2 linked regions of the Struthio camelus genome follow. The protein of the gene in region 1 interacts with the protein of each later gene in a pairwise test. Links are inferred from orthologs where the notes say so. Each region holds a gene or a part of one and is shown on either strand. Other genes may lie near its edges. The genes, in order: RBM17 and U2SURP.

Region 1 (7,531 bases):
TAACAAAAGGATCCCAAATCTGCATTCCAAAGTCACAAACTTTCCTCAGTGTTCCTAACACAGAAGTACTATCAACAACAGAAAGTAAAATTACTAAAGATCATACCTTTGCTTGTGTAAGAGCTGCTTTCTTCACCTGCAGTTGAGACTGCAGTAGTTTGAAATTTTTGGACCAGCCTTCTGTTTTGGAATCGCTGGTCTCAACTCCCAAGTCATCGTAAAGTGACATTTTCTCCTCAATTTAGAACTAGAGGACAAAAAAAAAAAAACCTATAATAAGTCATATGTCCAGTGCTTATTTGCTACTAGCTCGGTTATGTTTGTGCATCATATTTTTAATTAATTAATTTATTTATTTATTAAAGTCGGAGAGAAATCCCAGCAGTGACATTTTTCTGGTTAACGGCAGATATGCATGACTGCTCTGAGGCTGTATATAAACAATTATTTAAAAGGTAATAAAACGCTTCCATGAATACTGTTCAAGTGTCAATGGGTTTTGGAAACTTCCTAAAATTATTTTTGTAACATTAGGTTTGTAAAACTGTGGTTGTAACATCATCACTTCAAGCTTTTAAAAAGTTACACTGTGGTCCACAAAAATATTTCGAGGGTCACAAAGAAATTCTGAAGTATGACATAAACCTCAAGAGCTCCAAATCAGAGCATGTAAGAAGTTTTGTCTCCCTGACCTTAAAGTCTGCACAAATATATCAACATTCCAATCAGCTGCTTAAACTTCAGGATTTTTTGCAACATCATTGGGCTGAAAAGAAATATCTTTCTTAGAGTAATTACACTTGCTGGAGCACAGCCTGCCAGAGCATGATTAAGCAAATGTTTTCACACACTTAAAGCCCTCTCAAATAAACGGAATACGTAAACACACACATATAAAATTGGCTAGGTAACAACATCAATAACAGATAACATACATCACTGTCCACGTGATACATCATCTGACACGAAAGTAAGGAGAAAAAGCGTGCACGAATGAGAGGTCTATCACCTGCAGCAGCCTGTAGAATAACCTGCAAGCACATTATTTAGCCTCAGTTAGGCCTGGATTACAGTATCTGTGACCACCGCTTTAACTTCTTAATTTCCTGCAGGAGAAAACATCCGTAACGGAGTCAAGGACTACCGATAAACTGTCTGCAGTGAAACTGTACAGACATACAAGACTCGCTACGGAGCCCGCGCTCCCACAGATTTGACGGGTGCCTGTATTTGAAGGCACCTGCTGACACAGAGGAGCTGTCTGCTTATGTAGAGTTTTAAGGATTTAAGCAAATCTCAGATGGAGCAGGCAGCAACTGCATTACGATCTCCAGACATGGGGCTGTAGGAAATAATACAGCAAATATAAACACCTATATATTACTTCTAAGGTAAAATAAGTAAAAATAATAAAGAATAGGTGATTTCAGCCTGCAGAGGAACATAAACAACCGACGCTAGTTTACTGCATGAATATGGGGGGGGAGAGGTGGGTTTCGGTGGGGATTATTACCTAAATGGGCGTGGGGGGGGGGACAGGGAGGGATATCGCAAAGCACAGGGGAAGGCGACGGGGAGGGGGCACCACACGAACCCGCGTGCGCCACGGCAGACGAAGTTTGGGCAGCGAAAGGCGATTTTAGCCCCTCCAACCGCCGCGGCCCCCAGGGGCAGCGGCTCCGCGCCTCGGGGGACACCGCGGGCGGCGGGGCCGGGAGGCGGCGGCGGCGGCCCCCGCCGCGGGCCGAGGCCGGGCGCTGCGGGGCGGGGCGGAGGCGTTAGGGGCCCGGCCCCATCCCCGTTCCCCGCCCACCACCGCCGCGTTGAGGCGCAGAGCCGCCCGCTCGGCTCGGCTTAGTCGCCGGTCTGCGGGAGCCGCCGCCGCCGCCGCCCGCCCGCCGCTCACCCGTCACCGCGCCGCCGCCGCCGCCATTAGCCGGCCGCTGAGGCAGCCGGGAAGGGCCGCCCTCCACCAGCCAGCGCCCCCACCCCCTTCCGCGCCTGCGCACACGCCGCCCGCGCCTGCCTCCCCGCCGCGACGGCGCAAGCGCGCGGCTCGGCCAATGGGCGCGCGGCGCGGGCGCCGCCGTTGTACCGCCCTCTGGCGGGCGCGGCGCGGCACCGCCCCTTTCCCCGCCGCCCTCCGCGGCCGGGCGCGGCCCAGTCCGCGCCAGTTCGGCACTGGGAAGGGGCGGGGGGGGCCCTCCCCTCCCACTTCCTCCCCCCCCTCGCCCCTCATTTTTCGGGTCCTGTGACGCCCCGTGCGGAGGTGGCAGGCGACGGGCGGCTCTGCAACAGCCTGTGCGATCACCCTTATTTAAATAAAGCGCACGGAAATAAGAGAGAGACCTACAAACGACGTTAAACTTCGTGTTGGCGGGGGCGGTTTGGGCGCTGGCGGGTGGGCCGTGTAGCCCACGTTAAAAACAAACAAAAAAAAGACCTTAAAATCCCAGTGGACCTTAAAAGAGACCTTAAAATCCCGAGCTGGGCCTGCGTTCGCCACGTCGTCATTGGGGAAAAAACGAGCGATCGCTCAAGGAAGTTGCCCGAAAAATACGGCGGGGGGGGGGGGGGAGAAGCGAGATAACCTTCTGGTGGGGCTACGTTGGGGTTTGGGGCGGATTTAGCAGTTCCATCAGCAAGGGGGCAGGACGGTATCGGCGTCCCGGCCATCGCCCTGCGTTTTGCCTTCATGCCGCGTTTCGCTATACTGTGTTTTTGGCGCCTTGAGAAGTCTACGTCAGCCCGGCGGACGAGGTAACGCGCCTGCCGGCGTGTCTCCTTGGGCCTTCGGCGCCTCGACCTCATCTTCATTCCCGCCAAAACCAAAAACAAAACAAAACAAAACAAAAAAACAACAAAAAAAAGAATAATATGAGACTCTTCCGAGTTTGACGGCACAGTTGTGAAGCAGCTAGGAGGAGAGAAAGCTGACGCTCGTTTTGCTTCAAGCGTATTTCAGACGCCCCCGAATCATGTATCGCTCAGGCACGCTGGTTAGCGCCTGGCTCTGCCGCGGCTCCCGCTAACGCCGAGGTGGCTGGGTGGTGGTGTTACTGCAGGGTATTTGGCCGTTGAAAGTACCTGTAGTATGAGAGCATCGTTTGGGCCTGAAGTGGGCTGGATCGGTTGATTCCGCTGATCGTCTCGCTGCAGAAATCATTTCTGCTTTCCAAAACAGTCCCTGAAATGGCGTTATCTGTCCTCGCCGGGAGTTTATTCAGCTACGGTGATTTCTCCGCCTCTCCAGAGAGCTCATTTCGAGGTAATTCGGTAATTATTGCTCTCTGTGACAGTGGCAAGATCTCGTTTTTGTTGTTAATGGGCAGCTGTGTCCCTGACTTAAAGCCGGCAGAGAGTGAATTCAGACGCGTTGAGATTTCTAAGAATTATGGCCACTTGCACCACGTGATAAACGCTGTGGAAATAAACATTCAACCCTCTCTGCAAAACACAGCAAAACCTCCAACCCCAAAGCAGATAGCGTTGTCACTTCAACCTCAAAACTACAGCCTTATCTCTTTGTTGATCAAAAAGTCCTTATCTCCAGCATTACTTTTGACTTTGCTACTATGCAATTAATTCCCCATGCTTAAAATTAAAAAAAAAAAAAAAAAGAGGTACCAGTGAGCAAAGCTACTACTTAAAAAAGTGGTAGTTTATTTTAAGTTCTGGCCTGTTCTCGGCTCTTCCCATCCTACTTAAGCTGGTGTCTGCTAAGGGGATCTTTGTAGGCAGTGTGTTTCCAGATGAATCTATTTTAATAATAATAGTGAAAACTTCTTAAATGTAAGAAGAATTTTTCTTCGCTTTATTCAGGGAGGATCATCCAAGCAGGCTTTTGTTCCTTGCTCTAGAAATGCCTGCATTTTTAAAGGAAGAGATTGATATGATACACATTTCTCTAACTTTGTGCAAGAAAGAAAATCAGCAGGATACTTGAATACCAATTTCATAGTGACAGAATCACATTGAGCAAGGACTGGTGTTAAAGAAAGGAATCAAATAGTTAATTGCATTAAAATGTACTGCAAAAATCACTGTGGTTTGAAATTCAGCACCTAACAGCACAGAGCAGTATCACAGCATGATAGTCACTGGGAAAAACTCAAGAGATCAGAGTCTGCAAAGGCAGAAAACATGATAATCATCAGAGATTTCAGTTACTCCTGGGAAGACTGGGAAAATGCACAACAGGAAGGGCAAAGGCTAAATTATTAGACCCGTAAATAGCTACCTATTAAAGCAATTAGTCAGATAATTCGCGAGTGGGGAAGCAGCTCTTGATTAAGTCCTGGAAAGTGCATTAGGCGTGGTTCAAAATGTGTCTGTCATCATCTGTGGCAATAACCACCATAGACTGCTATAAGACACTTAAAAGAGCAAAGAGGCCAACAACATCCATTGCATTAATTTTGGCAGAATTCTGGCTGACGGCATGGAGACCGTTCGAAGGCGTGATCTCAAGTCTGCGTTGGCGAAACCATCCAAAAGAAGGGCCCTTGCACAAACTGAGCCCCTGCAGACAGCACATTTGATGTCGCGCGCCATCGTGCCGTGCCTACATCTTGCACGAAAGGCTGCGTCTCTCTGCTGAGGATTGCTGCTGGGCCACACGCGTCCTCCGGAGAAAGTATGAACCAGCTGCGAGCAGGTGGAGAAGTCGCACCACGCTGCAAAGTCTGAAGTCCCTGGACAGTCTGGGAATGGAGGACACCCTTGCCAGGGTCATCCCCAGTCCTTCATATTGGGGAGGTGGATGATAGCTTGGACAGACGCCTCTTTTTCAGCTTTATCTGCAAAGGCAGAGAGGGTGAAGGACATCCTGATGTATGCCAGTGGGGACACTGTGCTGCAGCTCCCGGCCACTTTTCTGAGACATCTGCACCCTGAGGTCAAACCCTGCAACTTTCTATAAGCTGTTTAGGCTAAATTAACTCCATGGCAGAGTATTTCCTTGGCAGACTATGTGCCAGGAGGGTGGCGTGGAGAAGAGCTCCAGATGGGCTCTCCCTCTAGTTGTAAGTGTCCCAAAGCCCAGAGAATGGCAAGCCCATGAGGTCCTTTCTGATGAAGAGGGGATCCATACCCCACAGCCTGTGGAAAGGTCTCTGGGGGTGAAGGCTGGGAAGAGTATCAAGGATTCAGGGCTGCTCCCGGTGGTGCCTGAGGAGCAGATGTGACCTGGTTTGTGCCATCCCCACTGTTGTGAAATTATTTGAAGTGCCTGCTACAGGGGAACCATCGCTGGGTCATCTTGGGCAACTTTCACCGTGCATGAACGGGCTATGCAAGCCAGACATACACAGCTGAAAGAGTACAATGCACATCTTTGCTGATTGACACACACAATAGATGGACAGGATTTAATGAGGTAGTGGGCCAAGCATTAGCGTGTTCATGGCTTCAGTGAGATACCTGAAGAGCCTTTGCTGGCGAGTCAGAGCCAGCTGGGGCAGCATCAGCCCTCTGCTGCCTCCAACAGACCCTCGACAGGGCTGAGTTGCCCCCTTCCAGCTACCTGTTTTTTCCTTCAGGATTTTAAACCTTTCCATGTTCATGTTTTTTCTCTTGAATCCCGCTAATGATCTCCACCTCAGCAGTCCCACCTGCCCTTCTTATCTCGCCTGGTTCCACTCTACGCCTTTTCACACAGCTCTTTCTCACAATATGGCAATTTTCTCAGCAGTCTGAAACGAGGTCATGCGGTTGGGCCATACCAGAGCTGGGTCCAGGATGCTGAACTCCTGGCAGAGGAAAGAAAAGGGTATGGAAGGGTTATGGACAGCAGATTGCAGCAGATTGCAGACAGGACCAAAAGGCTACGAACAAATTCTGTGTTTTCCCCGTTGTGGGCAGTGAGTGGCAGAGTGCCAGGGGCCTGGGTTAGGCCCCCGCAGCATAATGATAAGCAGCCTGGAAAAGGTCTCAGCAAAGGTGGTTATATTTGCCGTGGATTCAAAATTATTCGGAGTAATCAGCCAAAAGCTGAATGCAAGAAGTTGCAGAAGGATGGCATAATGCTGGCTGGGTGATGAGATGGCAGATGGGACCCAATGTTAATGAATGCAAAGCAGTGCACGCAAGAGAAAATAACACTAGCAATACACACACAGCAGCAGGCTCTCAATCAGCTGTTACCATTAAGGGAAGAGATGCTGGATTCACTGTGGATGGTTTTCTAGAAAGGCCAACTCAGTGCTCTGAAGGAGGCAAGAAAGCAAACAGGCTGCTAAGAAGTATTAAAAGAAGAGAGAGAGAGAGAGAGAGAGAGAGAGAGAAAAACAGAAAACATACTTGATATAAATCCACAATGCACATGCAAAGGTGCCTCCTGGGTACCTCATCACTTCCAAGTAGATGCAATGCAATGCAAAAATGTACAATGAAGGACGACAGAGATGTCATTCTAAACTGAAGGAATTAAGATGTATCAGCTGAAAAGAGACAGCTGAAAGGTGCTATGGGAGCATCCAACATCACAAGTGGTACAGAAACGGTAAAAAGGGAGTTCTCATTTTTCTCCCTAGACGTGATCTCCAAGAAGGTACAAAACAAACAGAGGTGTAAACTGTGGATCTCGGTGCCAGGGGGCACTCTGGAGGATAAAGGGATCCAAAAAAAGATAGGAGACGGTCCTAAGGAACAGGGCCATTCGGGCTGGTAAACACAGTGGTCAAAGTACAGTCTGTGTCTCAAAAATCCCACTAACCCACTGATTGCTGGAAGCAGGGCAGAGTTACTAGAGAAAAAAAAAAAAGCAGTCCATAAATTCCATGTTTCTTACAAATTCCCTTAAGCTTAAGCCATTTTTACCAGACTTAGATTATTTGCACTGTATTTTACAGATAGACCTTCTGAGGATGAGGCTTGCATGCTTAAAGCCGGGTTGCTAATATGCCAAAATGGCATTAGAGGGCAGTGCATCTCAGTCTACGGGGAGACCTTTGAGGTGGCAAGGGATGGCTGCAGTAAACCCCCCAAAACCATCCACAAGGCCCCCGGGGAACAGAAGAGCAGAGTGGTTCCCACCCACAGAGGTGGGGGCGAGATGCGAATCGCAGCGGGGCACACGCGAAAGAAAGCTGAGCTTGGTCAGAGGAACGTCAGTCAGGTTAGAATAAAGATGCTTAAATCACGTGGGATGGAGGGATGATTTCCAGCTAACGGTGCGGGTCCTAAGCAGAGAGCAGACCCACCCCACTGCACACCTGCTTTTTGTTAATGGTCCTGGCAGCACCTTCAAAACTTTATGAACTTTTTTTCTTTTTCAGAAAATACCCACTTGATTATCACTGCCAGCTTCACAGTGACCTTCAGTATGGCCCGCGTGGCAAAATGAAATATGAAAATGACGCTGCCAGAGGGAAAGCTCATTCATTCATCCTGGCTTGGGAAGATCGGCTCGAGTTTGTTGGATCCTAAACCAACATGTTGGATCCTAAACCAAACACAATGTGTGATGCCATGGTTTTGCTGAAAGGTACCACCCTAACCCAGTATGCCTTCAGATCTGCTTCATGATCTC
Region 2 (7,844 bases), on another chromosome or scaffold:
CAAGAACACGGTAGGACAACTGAAAGAGAAGGATGGGGCTTGGATTCTGAAGCTATTAGATCCTGCCTAATCCATCTCTTGCTTGCCCTGACCAACACCATTCCTTTCTGTGGACAAGTTTCTGTGGACAAGTTTGAGGGAGTTGTCCCCAAATCTTGCCGTCCAAGGTGAGTTTTCTTTCTTCCTCCTCCCCCAAACTGGCACTGCAAAGCGCTGCAGGTGGTTGCAGAGCTGGAGGGGGGTCCTCAGCGCAGAAGATGAGGCTCTGGATAGCAAATGCTTACTGCTGCATCTTCAAGTAAAACGCAGCTCCCTTCTGAAGGGAGCTCAGCAAACTTCCTGAACACTTCTTTAAAGAATCCTAGAGGTCTCCAGATCCTTAGCTCCGAATCCATTACCGGGGTTTTTTTGCTATGGTTATTTTGCAAACATGGTGGAGGGAGGCATGAAGAGCAAGGAGAAATGTGTATTTTTGCTACATGGCCCTTCTCTGTCTAGCCTACTGTTGTCTTAGTTGCAGTAGTACTGTCTGGTCAGCCAGTTACTTGACTGGAATGTAAAGCAATTTGTATCTATAGAGATATAATAATAATAATAATAATTTTGATATTTTTGGTGTGAGCTATCGATTCAGAAGGTAGAAATCATAATATAACAACGTAATATCACTGCCCAGTCTGAATTTGGGAGCTCATCTATGGAGATTATAGGTTTCCTTGCAAGAGGCTTGAGATTATTTTCTGCTGGGAGTTATTGGTATAAGCAGCAGCTGGGAGTTCGGGCCCACCCTGACGGAGCTGCTGCCCCCCAGCCTGGCATTGCTCGGCGTAGGCAGGGAATAACACACAACAGGGATGAACCCATCCCTTGAGTAATGATCTCACAGTCAGTGCGGTGCTACCAGCAGTAAATTCACCCGGCACGAGCACCAAGATGCACAGATTGGTGCAGCTGGGTAATAAATACCTGACTAAGAAGCCTGTCAGGACTGCAGAGGAAATGCAGCTTCAGGAAATTAAAAGCCGCATGTCACGGCGTCTACGCCAGGTTTCTGCACCAATGGTGGCATGCAATTTTAATTTTCTTCGGAAATGCGCTGGATGTGCCCTCTTGCGGAGGCCAGCGATAGTGCACGATGACCTCAAAAGGCTGCTTTTCCCCCCAGTCGACTCGCGCTGCTGTATACAAGCCACTCACATGGGGAACAAGAAATGGTTACATATAGTTTTTACTTTTGGCCACACCGCTGCTCTTACATATTGATCAGAAAGGGGCCTGGGATTTCTCTTGCGCTGCGCCACTATGGAGCTGGCAACAACGTCGCGCCGGAGCCCCAGGCTCGGCCACGGCCACGGCTGCGGGGGGACAGGCCGGGGACACAGTGTGCACGGGTGGCACTACATAACTGATATAGCAGAATCGTCTTTACTGATATCCGTATCAGAAAAAAGTCTGTCCTGCCTTTCAGAAAGCAGACATTTTAAGTTTGCAAAGCTGTGAGTTAGAAAACAATCTTCCTTTTATTTGTAAACTGAGCAAAATCAGTAGTGAGATGTTGGAAAAAGTATGTGAGGAACTCCATGATGTCTTTTGAGAGTCATTTCCTAGAGCAGAAACGTACTTCAAGGCTCTTTTCTGACAATAATCAATAAATGTAGCACCGCAATCAAATAAATGAGTATGTTAATAAAATTTCTCTGTAAAAATGTAATTGCCATCATAAACAAGTGGTCATTACTGAAAGACTTCATGTGGAGGTCAGGAAAGGAATCAATTACAATGACTGTAAAGGAAGCCCCTGAAGTAAAGGGAAAGATTGAAGGAGAAGCAGAAATTTCCAACTGAAGTAAAGCCATAACATCAACAGCTTCATTCTGAGTGGAAGATTGTAGGTGGGAGAGCTTAGTGTCACACTCTACAGTCTAAGAGTAGCTTCAAAGACACTTCCATTTTTGAGTGAGATTTCTCCTTTCCTTGAAATCCTGATCAACTGTTCTTTTTCATAATGCAGTAATGTTAATTCCACCCAGTCTGCTCACTAATTAGTAAAGCTACTCAAGCCCTTTTGACAGTACGTGACAGGACCTGTACTATAATCGGCTCTCTTTAGCTATCATTTTGCTATCTCAAATTTATACGTCACCCTATATGACCAAAGCTATAAGGTCACTACCTTTTCAGGAAAGTAGATGTACCCAGATCTGCTAACTTAAATGGCATTTCAGCACCTGTGGTTTTTTTATCTCTTATGGAGCAAGAGCCGTAAAAAGACTTGCATCTAAAGCTTCACCTTAAAGACAGCTGGACAGTAGCTGGGTAACATCAGATCATCTCCCTGAGAAGAGGGATGCATACCTTCTGCAGCAGGTGAAGTTTCCTGGAGATCTTTAGTCAGTCTGGAAAGATCTGCAGCTGTAATCTAATCTAGATGTAGTGAAAGGAGAGAGGCCTATTTCCACTCCTCACTAAGACTTGTATTAACCTTATACTAAGTATTAGGTGTACGCATAGTCCCACCAAAGTCAACAGAATTACTTTTGAGCCTAAAGTTAAGCATTTGTTTAGGTACCTTCATGAACTGAGACCTGTGTGACCTCCTTACCGCATCTGCTCTTTGTCTCCCTTTCACCTCCAGTGTGTTATTTTCACTATTCTTTTTTCTTCCGTTACCTTTTCTTTCGGGGTTTTCTTTGCCATCCCCCTTAAACTCCTCATCCTATGCAATTTCCTCTGCCCTCTTTACCCTGACGCTACTTCTTGTCCCTCTTGCTTTCTTTTTGCCCCTTCTGGAAGCTCCCACTCCTTCTTCCATCATGTCAATGGGGTTATTAGCTTAGACTCTGCTCCCTACTGGAGCTCACAGGGGAGTAGGTGTTCGGAGTCAGTGGATTTAAAGCTTTCATCCATTTCTGTGGATATGCTGTCTTTCCCTTAAGTACTCTCTTAACCCTACTATGATGAAAATCAATAAAAGCAAGGGAATGCAAGATTCACGTGAAATGCAATGTGACCTTGGGTCATAATTTCTACTTAAGCAATGTTCTAAAAATATTGTCGTGGTGTTGTGCTATCAAATCTAGGAATGGAGGATATGTTGTGCTATCCTCTTCACCATTCCTGGGCTTTTCCAGATTTGATGCAGTACTTTAATGTTGTTTATAAGAATATTCTTTCTATTTCACTTTGTTAGGTGTTTAGAGGCAAATCTTACCTGCCAGATGATATGACCACACAATGCTCAGTGTCTAGGAACATGACCCACAGATGAAGAGGGCTGTACAGAAAGGCCAAAATAGGCATTGCTCAGGCAAGACAGGTCAGTATTTTGTATCTGAATAAAGACCTTCTTCCATTAGAGTTTCTCATACGTGACCACGTGTTCTTCATATTGGTTCACAGTGTTGCTGGTGCCTCTTCAAAATACAGTGATTAGCAGCACGGGTCTGTATATGTATACAGTAGGGGGCAATAGATGTGCCCAGGAATAGCTGCGGAGGGACAGAACGGTTTCAGGGGGTGCGGACTCATGGTGCTGGCTGCCAAGGCTCCTTATGCCTGGCTGGCTTAATGCAGCCGGTTGCTAAGCAAATTTGGGTTGCCTAGCAACTTCATTCAATTTTGTCTCTGCTAATGTTAGAGCAAGAAATCCAGATGGGCCACATACCCCGTGAAAGCCAAAGGGCTGGTAGCAACAGGGGGATGTAGCCCTGCTGGTGCGGTCTGGTCTGCCTCGGCGCACCACTGTGGAAACACAATCGGCACGATTTTGGCTTGTAGCAATGGATATGGCCTCTGCCAGAGAGACCCTTTACCTTCCCACTGTGGGAAGACTTCAGCGAGTCACCGTGACAAGTGGTGGGTGTCTGACTGCTGGTGCTGCAATTCAGCCCAGTGGAGGCGGCTGGGCATCCCACCTGGTCAGGCTCCGCGGCTGCTAACACCCCCGGGAACGGATGGCGGGGGGAGGGATGGCGCTGGCCGCGGCGCTCCTGGGCCTATGTTAGTCCTTGACTAACAGACCTTCTTTGCAGAGGTCCTGTAGGAAGTTATTCGCAGAATACCTGGGCTTAGTTCCTGCTGGGCCTGGATGCGAGAAGCTGCTCGCACCTGTGTCAGCGTCTAATGCTACTGTACAAACCCAGACTGCAAAGAAAAGCGACGCTCGTCAGAGCCGGGTTTCTGCGCGCTAAGGCCGTCTCACGGCTGGCTGTACTTCAAGGGGAATACGCTTTGCTGCAGGCCAGGCAGCCTGACTTGACGGTAGGCCTTTGCCCTCCCTGGATTTAATTCTCAACTCATTCCTTAGCAATATGAGAAAATAACTTTTCCAGCGTTTAACTCATTTAGACCAAGACTGAGCCAAAACCGTAGGCCAGTTACGAAATAACGCTTTAAAACGAGACGTGGGGAGGCGCGTAGGAGCGGCCGCCATGACTAAGCAGCTAGCGAGGAGGACGAGGCAGGCCTCGGGCACGAGCCCGAAGCCGTAAGGAGACCCGCGGGCTGCCGTGAGCCGCCTCGCCCTGCCCTGCCCCGCCGCGGCGCGGCGCGGCTCCGCTCCGGGGGCCGCGGGCGAGGGCGGCCCGCGTGGGCGGGCAGGGCGCGCGTGGGCAGCCCAAGGTCCCCGCCACCCACGGGCGCCGCCGCCGGCGCCAACGGCCGGCGCCCCCCATCGCTAGCTCGGCTATCGACTTGGCGCCCTGCGTCTCGGGGGCCTTTCCCCTCCTCTTCGCCATCCGTGGACTCGGCGCTCGACTCCTCGCCGCCCGGGCTGAGCGAGGGGAGAAGCAAGATGGCGGACAAGACGCCCGGCGGCTCGCAGAAAGCCAGTGGGAAGGTGAGGCCGTTCCGCGGGGCCCGCGCGCCGCCCGCCGCCGCCGCCGCCGCCGGGGGGGCGCCCGCCGCCGCCGCCCGGCCGCCCACCCACCCGCCTGCCAGCCGCGGGGCGCGCGGGGCCGCGAGGCGCGGGCGCTGCGGCCTGCTCTGCCCCTGCCCGCTGCCCGGGGGGGCGGCGGGGCCGGGGCCGCGTCCCTCGCGGGGCGCCGCCCCTGCTGGGCCCGGCCTGGGCCCGGTGCCTGCCGGCCTCTCCGGCACCCCCGGGTGGAGGGGCGTGTGGGCGGGCGGCGAGGAGCGCGGGGTGCCGGAGGGAGCGGGTGCGCTGGCAGGCGGGGTCCGTGCTCTTTTAACGGCGCCGAAATGCGTTTTGGGTGGCTAGTTGATGCCTGAGCCTTGCCGACGCCCGCGTTCCTGTTTGACTTCGCCCGTGCTGGGGGTCCTGGTGCCTGCTTGGGGCCAGTTTCTGAATTGCGAGTGAGAAAGCAATGGTTAACGTGAGATTGAGGCTCCTGTTTTGTTTGCGATGTAATTATAAATTTCACCAAATCACGGTTGTGTTGCACTGTGTCTTCACTGTAGCTACTCAGTTTCCCATAATTACTGTTTGTTAGATTTAAAGACCAGAAATCCAAATCGTACAGGAATTCTGGCAGGCTTGTCCAAAGCTATGTACAGAAGCCAGTGCTGTGAGTAACCCTCAACAGCACAGAACTTCCTGCTCGCTAACACCTTCCCTGCCACGAGAAAGTAGAGGATAAGAAGGACGATATATTTTGGGGGACGCTTTGGCAGTTGACAGTTTGAGGATTAGTGACGTTCTCTTTTGAACAGTCTTGTTGCAGATCTTAGGGCAGTGCTGTGTAACTCTTTTTCCTGGTAACTGTTCCAAGTCTTTCTTTCTTGTGTAAGTCAGTGAAGGGAGAGAAGCCACATTCTGATTTAGGGATTTCCATTCCCATACAGATTAATAATTTTTGCCCATTTTTATATTCAGCTAAAACAGTTTTTTTTTTTTTTTCATTGTTAGGAAGCCAACTGAATCATAGTTATGAGACCCTTTTTTACCCAGTAGTTGGTGTCCTTAGGAGAGTTATTTTTGTTTCTGTTTTATGATTACTCCAAATACTGTGAGAAAACTTTCTTTGGATCGTACCTTTGACTTGAAAGTGCAACCAAGATCTACACAGATCTCTACTGGTTAATAGCACAGTAGATCTTAATTTATGGACAGAGGCTTTTGGGGAATAAGACATTTCGGGATTTTAAAGTATAATTAGATACAGAATAATAACTTGTTGGTTACTGTAACCAATAACACGATACACAAGAACAACTCAGATATGATCCCTTTCTTTTTACGGATAGTTACACCTTAGATTTGTCATTTTGGCAGTGTAATATTTCTATAGAGATGACTTTTTTTTGATAGCTGTTATTTTAAAAGAATTGTTTTCTGTCTTAGTTCTCTGTTCTGCAAAGATGTATGCAGACGCTTAACTCTCCATATGAAGTCATCCCATTGAACTTAGTAGGACTACTAGAAAACGTAAAGTTAAACACGGGCATTGATCTCTCAAGGGCTGGAGTCCTTGAGGAGGTCCTGTATCTTGTCATTTTCATACAGTTCCCCACCCCAATTTCCCATTACTTTAGAAGTATATGCTGTATTTCAGTATTCTCTTCCTTCCGTTTAGGTTCCTGATCTTCTTTGTCTTGTTAATGTTCTTTTGTGCCAAGGAAAATAGTGATAGTACATGGACCTTGGAGAACTTCTTTTTTTAAGGTGAAATTAAATAGCACGTGCTTAGGTCTTGGGATATGTGTTCTTTAGTCTTAACTTTGTGACTGTTGTGGGGGGAGCAGGAGGGTGTCTTTTTTTGTGTGTGTGTATCAGTTCATGAATGCATGTGATATGTAAATCCATATAGGTATTCTTCAGATATCTGTAGAAAGAGGTATGACATATCAGAGCTGAAATCTGTAATAGTTGTAGTTTTTCTTTGTAGTTAACTTATTCGTTCAACCACAAAGATCAATATTATTAGTTGACTGTATATGAGTATGTGTGGTTTAACAGTCAAAGCAAATAACCAGTTTACTTGATTTCTTAAAATAATTATTTATGAAACATTTTCTTTTTTTAAAATTAATTTACTTACATATCAAAATCAAAGTTCTAGGCTCCATTTTGTTTTGTGCATTATATTTGCATGTTGTAAGAGTAATTGTACTTGCAAACAAGGTCTTGCGAATAGGTCTTGTAGGCTCCATAGGATATATTTTAATGGCAATTTCAAGATGTTCCTTTCTTGGCTTCTAGCCTGTATCCTCGGAAGAACACAATGACGTTTTATTTTCTGCATTCTACTAAAAGCTATGGTGTAGCAGTTATAGTAAGATATGACTTCTCTCCTTCAGTACATGTGGTGTTTGTTCTTCTGTCTTAGTGTCCAGCCACTGTCTAGACAATCACTTTGTTTTATAAGGTAAAATCCAGTTTATTATTCAGTCAAGCATTATCTGTTTGATTCACTATTTGAAAACTGTCGGGGAGATGCTACCTGTTCAGGAGCACCAGTTGCCTGTGTGACTCTGTTGGTAGCTACTTTTTATGGTGCTGAGAGCTTCTAAATAAATTTGAAAGATTCTTCTGTGTGAAATGTGTTGCAAGAGTATCATCTATCCCCTTGTCACTTTAAGATTAGGATAGTAAAATCTGCACGTGAAATAGGAATGACAGACAAATTTAGGAGGGGAAAATAGAGGTTGGCCAAGATTGCCCAGCAGGTCAGTGTCAGGATATGATTTTAAAATGGCAGATATTGATTCTGTCCAATTATTATCTGGATGTAGTGAAATGTTATTTGCTTGGATGGCTCTACCACTTCTTTTTTTTTCGTCTTTTGAGAATAGTGGCTATATTGCATGTTTTCTGATCTTGCATATAATCCTGTTCAAATTGGGTACTAAATAGCAAGAGAGAAAAGTAGCCGGTTTTGAATAAGGGT

Evidence for each region.
Region 2: the proteins of RBM17 (region 1) and U2SURP interact in binary tests that used the Homo sapiens proteins (3 or more experiments, as listed by UniProt). The link is inferred for Struthio camelus from reciprocal best matches to the Homo sapiens genes RBM17 and U2SURP.

Annotation. Positions count from the first base shown.
Region 1 is NC_090942.1:4,586,225-4,593,755, reverse strand, and holds the start of RBM17 (splicing factor 45), read right to left. Parts: upstream 3,220-7,531; 5' UTR 3,088-3,219; intron 2,046-3,087; exon of another isoform or gene 1,907-2,045; intron 1,732-1,906; exon of another isoform or gene 1,595-1,731; intron 1,107-1,594; exon of another isoform or gene 936-1,106; intron 248-935; 5' UTR 230-247; coding exon 107-229; intron 1-106. UniProt on the Homo sapiens protein: Splice factor that binds to the single-stranded 3'AG at the exon/intron border and promotes its utilization in the second catalytic step. Involved in the regulation of alternative splicing and the utilization of cryptic splice sites.
Region 2 is NC_090950.1:15,664,253-15,672,096, forward strand, and holds the start of U2SURP (U2 snRNP-associated SURP motif-containing protein), read left to right. Parts: upstream 1-4,587; 5' UTR 4,588-4,792; coding exon 4,793-4,837; intron 4,838-7,844.